Linked DNA regions of Rattus norvegicus. The protein of the gene in region 2 interacts with the protein of the main gene of each other region in a pairwise test. Links are inferred from orthologs where the notes say so. Each region holds a gene or a part of one and is shown on either strand. Other genes may lie near its edges.

The links. The genes of interacting proteins can lie anywhere in the genome.
Region 1: the proteins of Egfr (region 2) and Sh3d21 interact in a protein complementation assay, tested with the Homo sapiens proteins (2 studies listed by IntAct). The link is inferred for Rattus norvegicus from reciprocal best matches to the Homo sapiens genes EGFR and SH3D21.

The regions. Positions count from the first base shown.
Region 1 is NC_086023.1:143,724,923-143,730,309, reverse strand, and holds the start of Sh3d21 (SH3 domain-containing protein 21), read left to right. Parts: upstream 1-1,962; 5' UTR 1,963-2,007; coding exon of another isoform or gene 2,008-2,038; coding exon 2,039-2,126; intron 2,127-2,309; coding exon of another isoform or gene 2,310-2,400; intron 2,401-2,551; coding exon 2,552-2,607; intron 2,608-2,693; coding exon 2,694-2,739; intron 2,740-2,875; coding exon 2,876-2,976; intron 2,977-3,065; coding exon 3,066-3,152; intron 3,153-4,596; coding exon 4,597-4,639; intron 4,640-5,387.
Region 2 is NC_086032.1:95,542,223-95,546,917, reverse strand, and holds part of Egfr (epidermal growth factor receptor isoform 1 precursor), read right to left. Parts: intron 4,560-4,695; coding exon 4,462-4,559; intron 3,798-4,461; coding exon 3,630-3,797; intron 3,237-3,629; coding exon 3,189-3,236; intron 2,393-3,188; coding exon 2,290-2,392; intron 1,639-2,289; coding exon 1,277-1,638; 3' UTR 1-1,276. UniProt on the Homo sapiens protein: Receptor tyrosine kinase binding ligands of the EGF family and activating several signaling cascades to convert extracellular cues into appropriate cellular responses.

The DNA.
Region 1 (5,387 bases), on a different chromosome or scaffold from region 2:
TGAATTCTATTATCTTTACAAATATAAGATGAGAAAATAATTTTTTCAATATTTTTTATTAATCTTTTTATAAAATGAAAAGACGCCTATGATTAAGGATGGTGGTTATGGCTGGGTGGTCTGTGGGGTTGTGTGTTTTTGGGTTTTTCCTTTTTTTCTTTTTTAACCTTATGTTTTGGGTTGAAACATTTTCAGATGTTGGGGGGCATTCTCATTAAAGGGTTCTTGTGCTTGCCTTCCGGGGTGGCGTCGCGGTCCCCAGCAGGTGAACCACTGCATCCGTGCATCTGTTGGATACCCACTGCACCCTCCTCCCTCAGCCTTTGCTCTTAGGTTGCCCTGCATACTGCCCTTTACTTTGCTAATTTCAATAGTTAAATTGGTTTTACTTGAATGATTCATGTTTAGGGGAGAGAGAAAAAACACCCTTAAATTTTTGTTTCAACTCCTCCTGCAAATAAAAACAATAAATGAAGTGGCAGATGTAAATGGACTGTGTGTGTTGCTTGTGTGAGTGACCCTGGGGTAGTAGGTGGGTCCTTGAGAAGTTCTTCCTTCTCAGGGAAGAAGCACCTCTTGTTCTCAGTGGAGTCTGGAGTCTGCATTCCGTGCTTTTGACACCTCCAAGAGCCAAACCTAACTACCATGCCAGAAGCCAGGACTTTGGCTTCCTTCGTGGTGGGGCAGGGGTCAAGGCTTCAGTCAGCTGGCTCGGCCTTTGTATGTTCACCTAGAAGTTGACTTTCAGGTGAGCCTAGCCCAGCTGGTAAACCGTTTGTGGGTGTACTCTAACCTTCAGACTCTTGCCAGGCCTTAATAAAAGTTGGTTCTTCCTGCCTTTCCCCAAAGAGAATTTGCAGTAGTTGTCAGAAATCCAACTAGACCCCCGAAAGAGTCAAAGCTCAACCAGCTTTGTTTTGAAGTTTGGAATATACCCGCCACAGCTTTTAAGAGACTGGGGCCACTTTCCCAGCAATGGCCCCACCTTGGTATGTACCTCTCCCACCTTCCCCTGCAGCTAAGAACTTGCAAGCCAGAAAAGAGGGTGGGCTAGGAAACGTATAAAAGACGTAGAGTTGGCCCAGGTTGGGAGGCTTGGCTAAAGTAGAACTTAATAGTTCTATTTAATAGTAGAGCTCCTGGGGGAGCTGTTACCCCAGCCCTGGGCTAAGACCCTGGACTCCTCCTCCAAGAATTGGGGCCCAACCTGCTGAGCCAGGCCGCCCACTCCTAGTACCTGGATTCTGACCTATGACTCGAGTCTCCGCCTCATCTACATCCAGTCTACTACCTGGCGGCCTCGCCCGCCCTCCGCGCACCAATACCAAGTCTGACGGTCAGGCTGTGCAGGGCGCCCCAGAAATCATGGGTATGTGTGTGTGGGGTTCGGGGTGGGTTCTTCTGTACCCAACTTTCCGAAGGGCAGCATTCCCCCCAGCCTTTCTTAGCACGCTTCCGCCCGCAGAGGTCCTGGTCCTGGCCAGATACCGTGCGCAGACGGAGGACGAGCTGAGTCTGGCTCCGGGGGACGTGATCCAGCAGGTGTGTGCCGTGCCCGCTCGGGGCTGGCTGCTTGGGGAGCTGCGGGGCCGCCGTGGTCTCTTCCCCAAGCGCCTGGTGCAGGTAAGGCCCGGTGTGGGTAAGGCGGCACAGGGGAGCAGGAGCGGCCTCAGCCTCGGGCCTTGTACTGAGTCCCACCCCCACGTGATTTTCCCAGGAGATTCCCGAGGCCCTGAGGGGCGTCACCGAGTCCAGACCGCGCTTTCCGCGCCGTCGCGGTGAGCCGGGAACTGGGCCGGCGGGTGGGGGCTGACTGCCCGCGTGGAGCGTGACGGCTGTGGGTGGGGCACCCGGGGCTATTTTGCAGCCCTCTGATTGGCTCGAAGTACAATGCTCCGCTCGAGGGCGGGGCCTGAAGCTACTAAAGGGAGTTCTGGGGTTCACCTCCTCCCCAGTGCTGCAGACGGGGCTCCCTGCTCGAGCTGCTTCCCTGCTTATCTGGCCTAGGTCACCCCATCGACTCTCAGAGCCCCCAAAGATGGTGCAAAGTGAATTTCAACTACAGTCCAGAGCAGGCAGACGAGCTGAAGCTTCAAATTGGGGAGATTTTGGAAGTGATAAAGGAGGTGAGGGGGTACTAGGGGACTTGGAGTGATGCTGGAGTTCTTCACACAGAAGAGAGTAACGTAAGGGGAGGCAATGGGAGGAAGACAACTGGGGAGGAGGTAGTCCTTGGGTAGAACCGAGGATGGACACCTCAGTTACTCTTGGGCAGAACCAGATGCTCCCGCATCCTTCCCCCTCCCCAGATTGAGGACGGCTGGTGGCTGGGAAAGAAGAACGGGCAATTGGGAGCCTTCCCATCCAACTTTGTGGAATTGCTGGACAGTGGGCCCCCAAGTGAGACCGTGACCCTGTGATCCCCTGGGACCAGACTCAACAATCTTCAGTGATCTTCCCAGTGACCCTCCTGACCCTGTGCCCCTTTGACCCTCTCCCTTGACCTGGCTAAATTAGCACCTCCCTAACACCATCAATTGCCCCTCCACAGGCCTTGGAAACACAGACATGCCTTCGATCATTCCTACTTCACAGAGGCCTCCTAAGGTAAACTGGGTCATGATGGGCACGGCCAATGAAATCTTAAAATGGCTTGAGACTAGTCTTACTCTCCCTCCCTTTGCCCCTAATAGCTGAGCAACTTGACCTATGACAGCCCTCCAGATTACCTGCGGACAGGTGAGCATCTCGCCAAGGAGGTCCTCCCACGGTACCAGGTCTCGCCCTGCCTTGTGGGAGGTGAACCAGCTAGGTTGTTGGAGGGAGTCACTGGCTGCTGAGGGAAGGGCTACACAGTAGAATGACCTTCTTTTAGTCTCCTGCCCTGAGACCTGCAGGGTCCTGTTTGACTACCAGCCCGAGGCCCCCGATGAGTTGGCGCTGCAGAAGGGCGACCTGGTGAAAGTTCTGAGAAAGGTACGAGAGGATTAGGGGTACAGAAGAGTAGGGGCCCAGGCAAGAACTTGAGTGATGCTCACCTCCCCACTGGCTTGTTTCCCAACCAGACAACCGAGGATAAGGGCTGGTGGGAAGGAGAATGCCAAGGCAGAAGAGGAGTTTTTCCAGACAACTTTGTCATCCCACCGCCCCCAGTGAGTATGGAACCAGGTGTGGGGAGGAGAGAGGAAAGGCTGTTTTTAAAAAATCGGGGGGTTGGGGATTTGGCTCAGTGGTAGAGCGCTTGCCTAGGAAGCGCAAGGCCCTGGGTTCGGTCCCCAGCTCCGGAAAAAAAAAAAAAATCGGGAAAATGGATATGGTGGTACATGTCTTTAATCCCAGCACTCGGGACACAGAGACAAGCGGATCCCTGAGTTTGAGACCAGCCTAGTCTATAGAGCAAGTTCAGGAGAACCAGAGTTACACAGACAAACCCTGTCTCAGAAGTATAGATAGGGAAATGAAAAATCAGGGATCATGGATTTGCTGGATCACTAGAGCAAGGCACATATAACACTCTTAAAAACAAGAGACAAGCTGGGGATATGGCTCAGGGTTAAAGTGCTTGTTCAGACAGCCCCCCAGAACACATAGAAACGGCAGGTGGGCATGGCAGCGCCTCTGTTTCAGGAAGGGAGAGGCAAAACAGACCATACCGGTGAGCTCTGTGTTTGACTGGGAGATTTTACCTTTAAAAATTAGGTAGAGGGCTGGAGAGATGGCTCAGCGGTTAAGAGCACTGACTGCTCTTCCAGAGGTCCTGAGTTCAATTCCCAGCAACCACATGGTGGCTCACAACCATCTGTAAAAGAGATCCGATGCCCTCTTCTGGTGCATCTGAAGACAGCTACAGTGTAGTTATATATAATAAATGAATAAACCTTAAAAAAAAATTAGGTAGAAAGTGTGGCATGGTGGCCTTGAATCCTAGCACTTGGGAGGCAGAGGCAGGTGAATCTCTGAGTTCAAGACCTACAGAGAGTACCAGGACAGCCAGAGCGACACAGAGAAACCATGTCATGAAAATCCAAAAAGAAAAAAAAAAAAAAAAAAGAATTAGAAGAGTGATCAAGAAAGATTTCCTGGGGCTGGAGAGATGGCTCAATGGTTAAGAGCACTGACTGCTCTTCCAAAGGTCCTGAGTTCAATTCCCAGCAACCACATAGTGGCTCACAACCATCTGTAATGGGATCTGATGCTCTTTTCTGATGTGGCTAATATATATATCAAGAAGAAAGAAAAGAAACTCCATTTCTTAAAAGAAAAAAAAAGGGGGGGTTGGGGATTTAGCTCAGCGGTAGAGCGCTTGCCTAGCAAGCGCAAGGCCCTGGGGTTCGGTCCCCAGCTCTGAAAAAAAAGAAAAAAGAAGAAGAAAAGAAAAAGAAAAAAAAAGATTTCCTATTTGAACCTCCTGCTTACACATGAGTGTATGCATTTTACACACACACACACACACACACACACACACACACACACACACACACTAAAACAGGGGTTATGGAATTCCTTGGATCCAGCTGGAGGGTCACCCCTAGATGAGGCTGGACTTAAAACTGCTGGGACTTGTCCTTGTAGTCTAATTTTTTTTTTCTCGTTTAGATCAGGAAGCTGATCCCACGGAAAATTATTTCTCGGGAATCAGGTGGGTGCCTGGGGAGCATGGGGTAGAGGAAGCTGTTCTACAGGCGAGCCATTGTTTCTAGTTGAGCATAAACACTTGTGGTTCTCCCCCTGGTCTGGTACACCATAGGACCTCCCTCCCCTGGGGGAGGGAAGGGTCAAGGCTCTTGCAAGAACTATGTGAATCCTGGGTGAGTCAGATCGTGTTCAAATGCCGTGTGCCTCTTGGGACTGTGATGATCACAGAGCCCCTTGTGCTATGCCTATTAGTATAGGTGGTGTTGAGGATCAAACCCAGAGCTTTGCACAAAGAAGGCAGGTGCTCTACCACTGAGTGGTGCAGTCTGGATCTAAACCTTGAAGTCCCTACAGATAAATTCTGGGTTGGAAGATGGCTAGGTGAGGAAGCTGTTTATGCAGGACCACGGGGGGGGGGTTGTAATTTAGTTTTAGTTTTATGTGCATTGGTGCTTTTGACCAGTGTGTATGTCTGTATAAGGGTGTTGGGTCCCTTGGAACACCGTTTACAGACAGTTGTGAGCTGCCACGTGGGTGCTGGGAATTGAACCCAGATCTTCTGGAAGAGCAGTCAGTGCTCTTAATCACTGAGCCATCCCTCCACTTCCCAGGACCATGTTTACCCACAGCAAGGGCCTTTGTTGGAGCGGGTAGTCTGGGTCCACTAAAGAGGGGTGTCCTCTGGTCCTGTAGCAGCAGAAAAATCTTAACTCGGTCGTCAGCTTTGATTAACCAGGCAGTTGCCATCCTGT
Region 2 (4,695 bases):
GGAGCACTGTCATCATGCCACTTTCAAACAGATACTGCCTTCCACTCGGTTCTTAACATTCTTCTTTTTGAAACCTGCACACCAAACCTACCATGGGCTGCCCCTTACTACACAGTAGCTTAGATCATTTTTCTAAAAGGGAAAGAAAATGTTTAGCAGCAGTTTACCAGGGAGAGTTTACATATCACCAGTAAACACTTTAAAAATTAAAAAGATTTATCCTCCATGTGTGGTTTACACTAGTTTTGGGGTGTAGAGGGGTGAAGGCAAGGTGGAAAGGCTTCACTTTCGTAGTCTCATATGCACGCCTCAGAAGACACAATGATGAGACAAAAATTTTGGGTTAAATTTCTTCTAGGAATTTTTGCATGGTTACTCCAGCTTAGATAAAGGCTTTGGGTTACAATACTGATGGTTCGAATGGGTTTGAATCATGGTTGTTCTTTGATAATAATACTGTTTTTTTTTTTTTTTGCTTGTTTGTTTGTTTGTTTACTTCATGAAATGAAAACGGGAAAGCATATTAAAACTCAAAACAATGAAACAGAAAACATAAAAGGTAGTCTAATAGTCAGAAAACACTGGTAAACTAGCGTGTGTTAAGTATCAGGGACATATTTATACAAAAAAGTAAGTCTGAGGGAAAATTCTACCCAGTCATTCTTCTCCCAGTCCCAGTAAGTAACAAAGTGGCTTATCCTATTGTACCTGCCATGGTTTAATGCTGTACAAGTGTGGCCTGCTGAGCACATCCAGGACTTCTTGTGCATGTAGTTATCTTGCCATGGAAGTGTCTTGATGCAGAGCTGCTAGAACCAACTGTCTGGTCAGTTGGCTCCAGGCAGCTCTGTGTAATACACGCTACGGGCAAGCTTCTTCCTTTATGGAAGAGTGCATGAATCAAATCAATAAAGACAAGAATCCCAGAGTTCCCTATGCAGCAAGCGCCATAGGTCTGTTTTTTTTCCCCCTATGTACCTCACCATGAGGCAACCTTCTGTTCCAAAAGGACAATGTTCTCGATGGATACCTTTCAGTGGAATCTTCACAGTTCGAAGACCAATAGATATACCTTCAACTTCCCAAAGAGCATCAGGGGAGGGGCCCACTTCTTGGCTCAGTGACAAAGCCCGTCAGAGTTATGCTTTAAAGCCAGTCTGAGGGTTTGACATTTGACACAATGTGGACATGGCTGTCAGGAGCAGAGGTGCTGCCATGGCTTGGTCCTGGGCTTCTGGAAAGTCCGGTTTGTAGCTGGTACAATGCCTCTTCAATGTCATGCTCCAATAAACTCACTGCTTGGCGGTGCCACCCGCAGGTACTCTGCATTTTCAGCTGTGGGGCCCTTAAAGATGCCATTCGGCTTGGCTTCTTTGGGAAAGAAGTCCTGCTGGTAGTCAGGGTTGTCCAGGCTCATTTGGTGGCTGCCTTTCTGGATCCAGAGGGCAGAGCTGTCAAACCCACTACTGAGGCAGGTCGGCTGGGCAGTGTTGAGATACTCAGGGTTGCTCACCGCATTGCTATGGGGATTTTGATAATGCAGGTCTCTTCCAGGAGCTGGATGCAGGGGCTGATTGTGATAGACTGGGTTCTGCACAGAGCCAGCCGGCCTCTTGGGAACAGATTGGTTTATATATTCTGAAATGAAGAAGAATGCACGCGTGAGTTAGTAAAGCTTCACCCGAAGACCCTGAAGCAGAATTCCACGGCTCAGTGTGAGCGCTGCAAGTGTCCTCAGTGAGACAACTGAGATCCAAGAGCAAAGGAGTTCTGGGAATAGCATGGAGATGACCAAATAACCTGTGATATTTTCTGTACTTCTCAAAGCAATGGGCATAAGTGGTTTTTGCAAGTTTAAAGGATGATGTGTTTCGTGTGTGTGTGTGTGTGTGTGTGAGAGAGAGAGAGAGAGAGAGAGAGAGAGAGAGAGAGAGGAGACACATGTATCCATCTTTTATATGCAGATGCACACACACAATATACATACATACATACATACATACATACATACATACATACATACATGTACACTTTGCCACTTGTTTCCAAGCCAACAGATCTGCAGAAAACCCAGCTATCACCTGTACTTGTCACAGGCTTCGCAGCATGGTAAGATCTCTCTGTTTTGGCTTTTTATTCCCTTCACCATGTCTATAAATTTGCCACAGTCTCCACCTCAGGATGTGGTGTGCCTCATTCAAGTATCCTGGATGTCACAGCTGGCTTGTACCTGAGAAAGTGGCAATAGACACCAAGGCCTGATGGCTGCTTCCTGAGCAAGCTACTCACCAGGCACGGGAAGGAATGTGTCATCTATGTTGTCCTCTGTCAGGACGCTGGTGGGATCGGAGCTATACCGTTGCAAGAAGGCGTCTTCTTTGACACGGCAGCTCTGTGGGAAGGAGAGGCCAGGTTACTCCAGTGGGGATCACTCAGCCTTTATTATAAAATAACTTCACCCGTGCCTCATTAGAATGCAGATTCTAGCTGTGTATGGTGGTACACACTTGTGACTTTAGACCTCTAGAGACTGAGGCACAGGGAGCATGAGTTCAAGGCCAGCTGAGCCACACAGATTCTGCCGCAAAAACAAACACACAAGAAAAGGGGATTCAATGGAGTGAGGGAAAGGAGATTTCTGACACGCTCCAAAGTGACTCCAGTGCGTTACAGACAAGCAAAGTCCTGATCAGTACACCTACCAGAACTTTCTGTAGGGATGGTGATGCCTCCCAATCTGTGTTCCATTACAAGGTAGTCACATGCCACTTGTGGGTAACTGAACACTTGAAATGTGTGAGGAATTGAATTTTACATCTTATTTCATGTTAGTTAAAATTGAATCAGTGACGTATAGTGGCTCCTGATAGAACAATGCAGGCAGCAACTGAAGCACTCTACTTCATCATGGTCAGCTCCCCCACAGATCCTCCTGGTAGATCTGGTGCAGACCTAATTATCTGCATTTCTAACAGCTGCTGGGAGATGCTGACGCTGTCTGTCAATGAACCACACTTTGAGTGATCCTGTGATAAGCGATCGCTTACTGTTGGCCTCAGGACTCCAGTCAAAGAAGCCATGGCATGGGAAAGAATGCACGGGAAGAAAAGCCAGTGCAATGCGGGCTAAGATGGGCACTTTCCCTGTGTAGCTTATTCGATTCTGTTTTATAACATGTCCATACGTACCCCATTTCTATTAATGCAAGCCACAGCGGAACTGTTGCTATTTGCACTCTGGAAAAAAAAAAGAAAGAAAGCAATGTTGGTCATGGTACACTGGTACCTTCTCATCCATTTCCAGCGGATGCAGGAGGCGGATCTCATAGAGCAAAAATATTTCAATGTGTTTACTGTTTTCTTGAAGAGAAGATTTTTTTTTTTGCCTTAAATTAGAGCTTTAGAAAAACTAGGCAATTAAATAACTAAAACCCTTAGCTGTTGATCATGATTCTAGGTTCTGTTTGGTTATATTTTACCTCTTTTATTTTTCTCTTAGTAAAATATAGAAAATGGAAAATAAGTCAATTTAAATCAGGAGAGAGAGAGAGAGGAGAGAGATGGGGGGTGGGGGGGGAGAGAGAATGAGAGAGAGAGAGAGAGAGAGAGAGAGAGAGAGAGAGAGCATACCAGAGAGCTCAAGAGTGGAGTCCGTGACGTGGATGGGCTGTTGAAGAAGCCTTGCTGTGGGATGAGGTATTCATCAGCATCAACTACGTCTTCCATGTCCTCCTCCTCCATCAGGGCTCGGTAAAAGTTGGAGTCTGTAGGGCTCGGCAAATGCATCCTTTCATCCCCCTGACGCAGAGATTTTAATAGAATTAGAAAGGGTTCTATGGAGCTCGCTCTGCTTCCTGGCTATAGGAGTAAGGGCCTTTATCAACAACTGTCTACAAGGTCTGCCACTTATAGTATAAGCCATGTGATATATATATCCACATGAAGAACGGGTTAAGAGAGAGGAGAAAAAGAAGCCATGGGGACATTTATCATCCACTACTCAATGCTCTGAGGTGTATTTTTCATATATTATTTTACCGAAGCTTTAAATCCACAAAGACAAACGGTCTTGAGCTTGTTCTTCCAGATTTAGAGCCAGGCCGATTGGCTGTATAAGGTGGCACGGGTGTGATAAGGAGTTGGGGAGGGAAGCCATGTAGGTTGACAGTGAAGTCTTGCTTCTCTGTTTAGCAAAGCCAGGGCTCTAATTAGCCAAAATATGAGGTGACGTTTGCACTGGGTCCAGGTTGGACTGCTCAGATCCAATGGTGACTTGGAATTGGGTGCAAGCCATCACGTATCCCCCATGTAATCCAGTCATTGTATCTAGTAGAGGCTGCTCTAATGCACAAAAGGATTTATTATCAAGAAAACACCTCACGGGCTGTGTTGCTCTAGCACGGTGGCATCTGGAGCGATTGGAAAGATTTTGACAGTGGAAGAACCAACTTTGGCCTGGTACCTGGATAACAAGGTAGCGCTGTGGGTCTCTGGCCATTTTGGAGAATTCGAGAATCAACTCTCGGAACTTTGGGCGGCTATCAGCATCTATCATCCAGCCTGAGAGAGAAGTGAAGCAAAGCATAGCAATGAGAACCCTGGGAGGAACAACAAGGAGGGCATTACTCAGAGCATTTTATGCTGTGATCTTGTTAGGCATGTGGATACTGAGTGCATATAATCTTTGTGAGAGCCT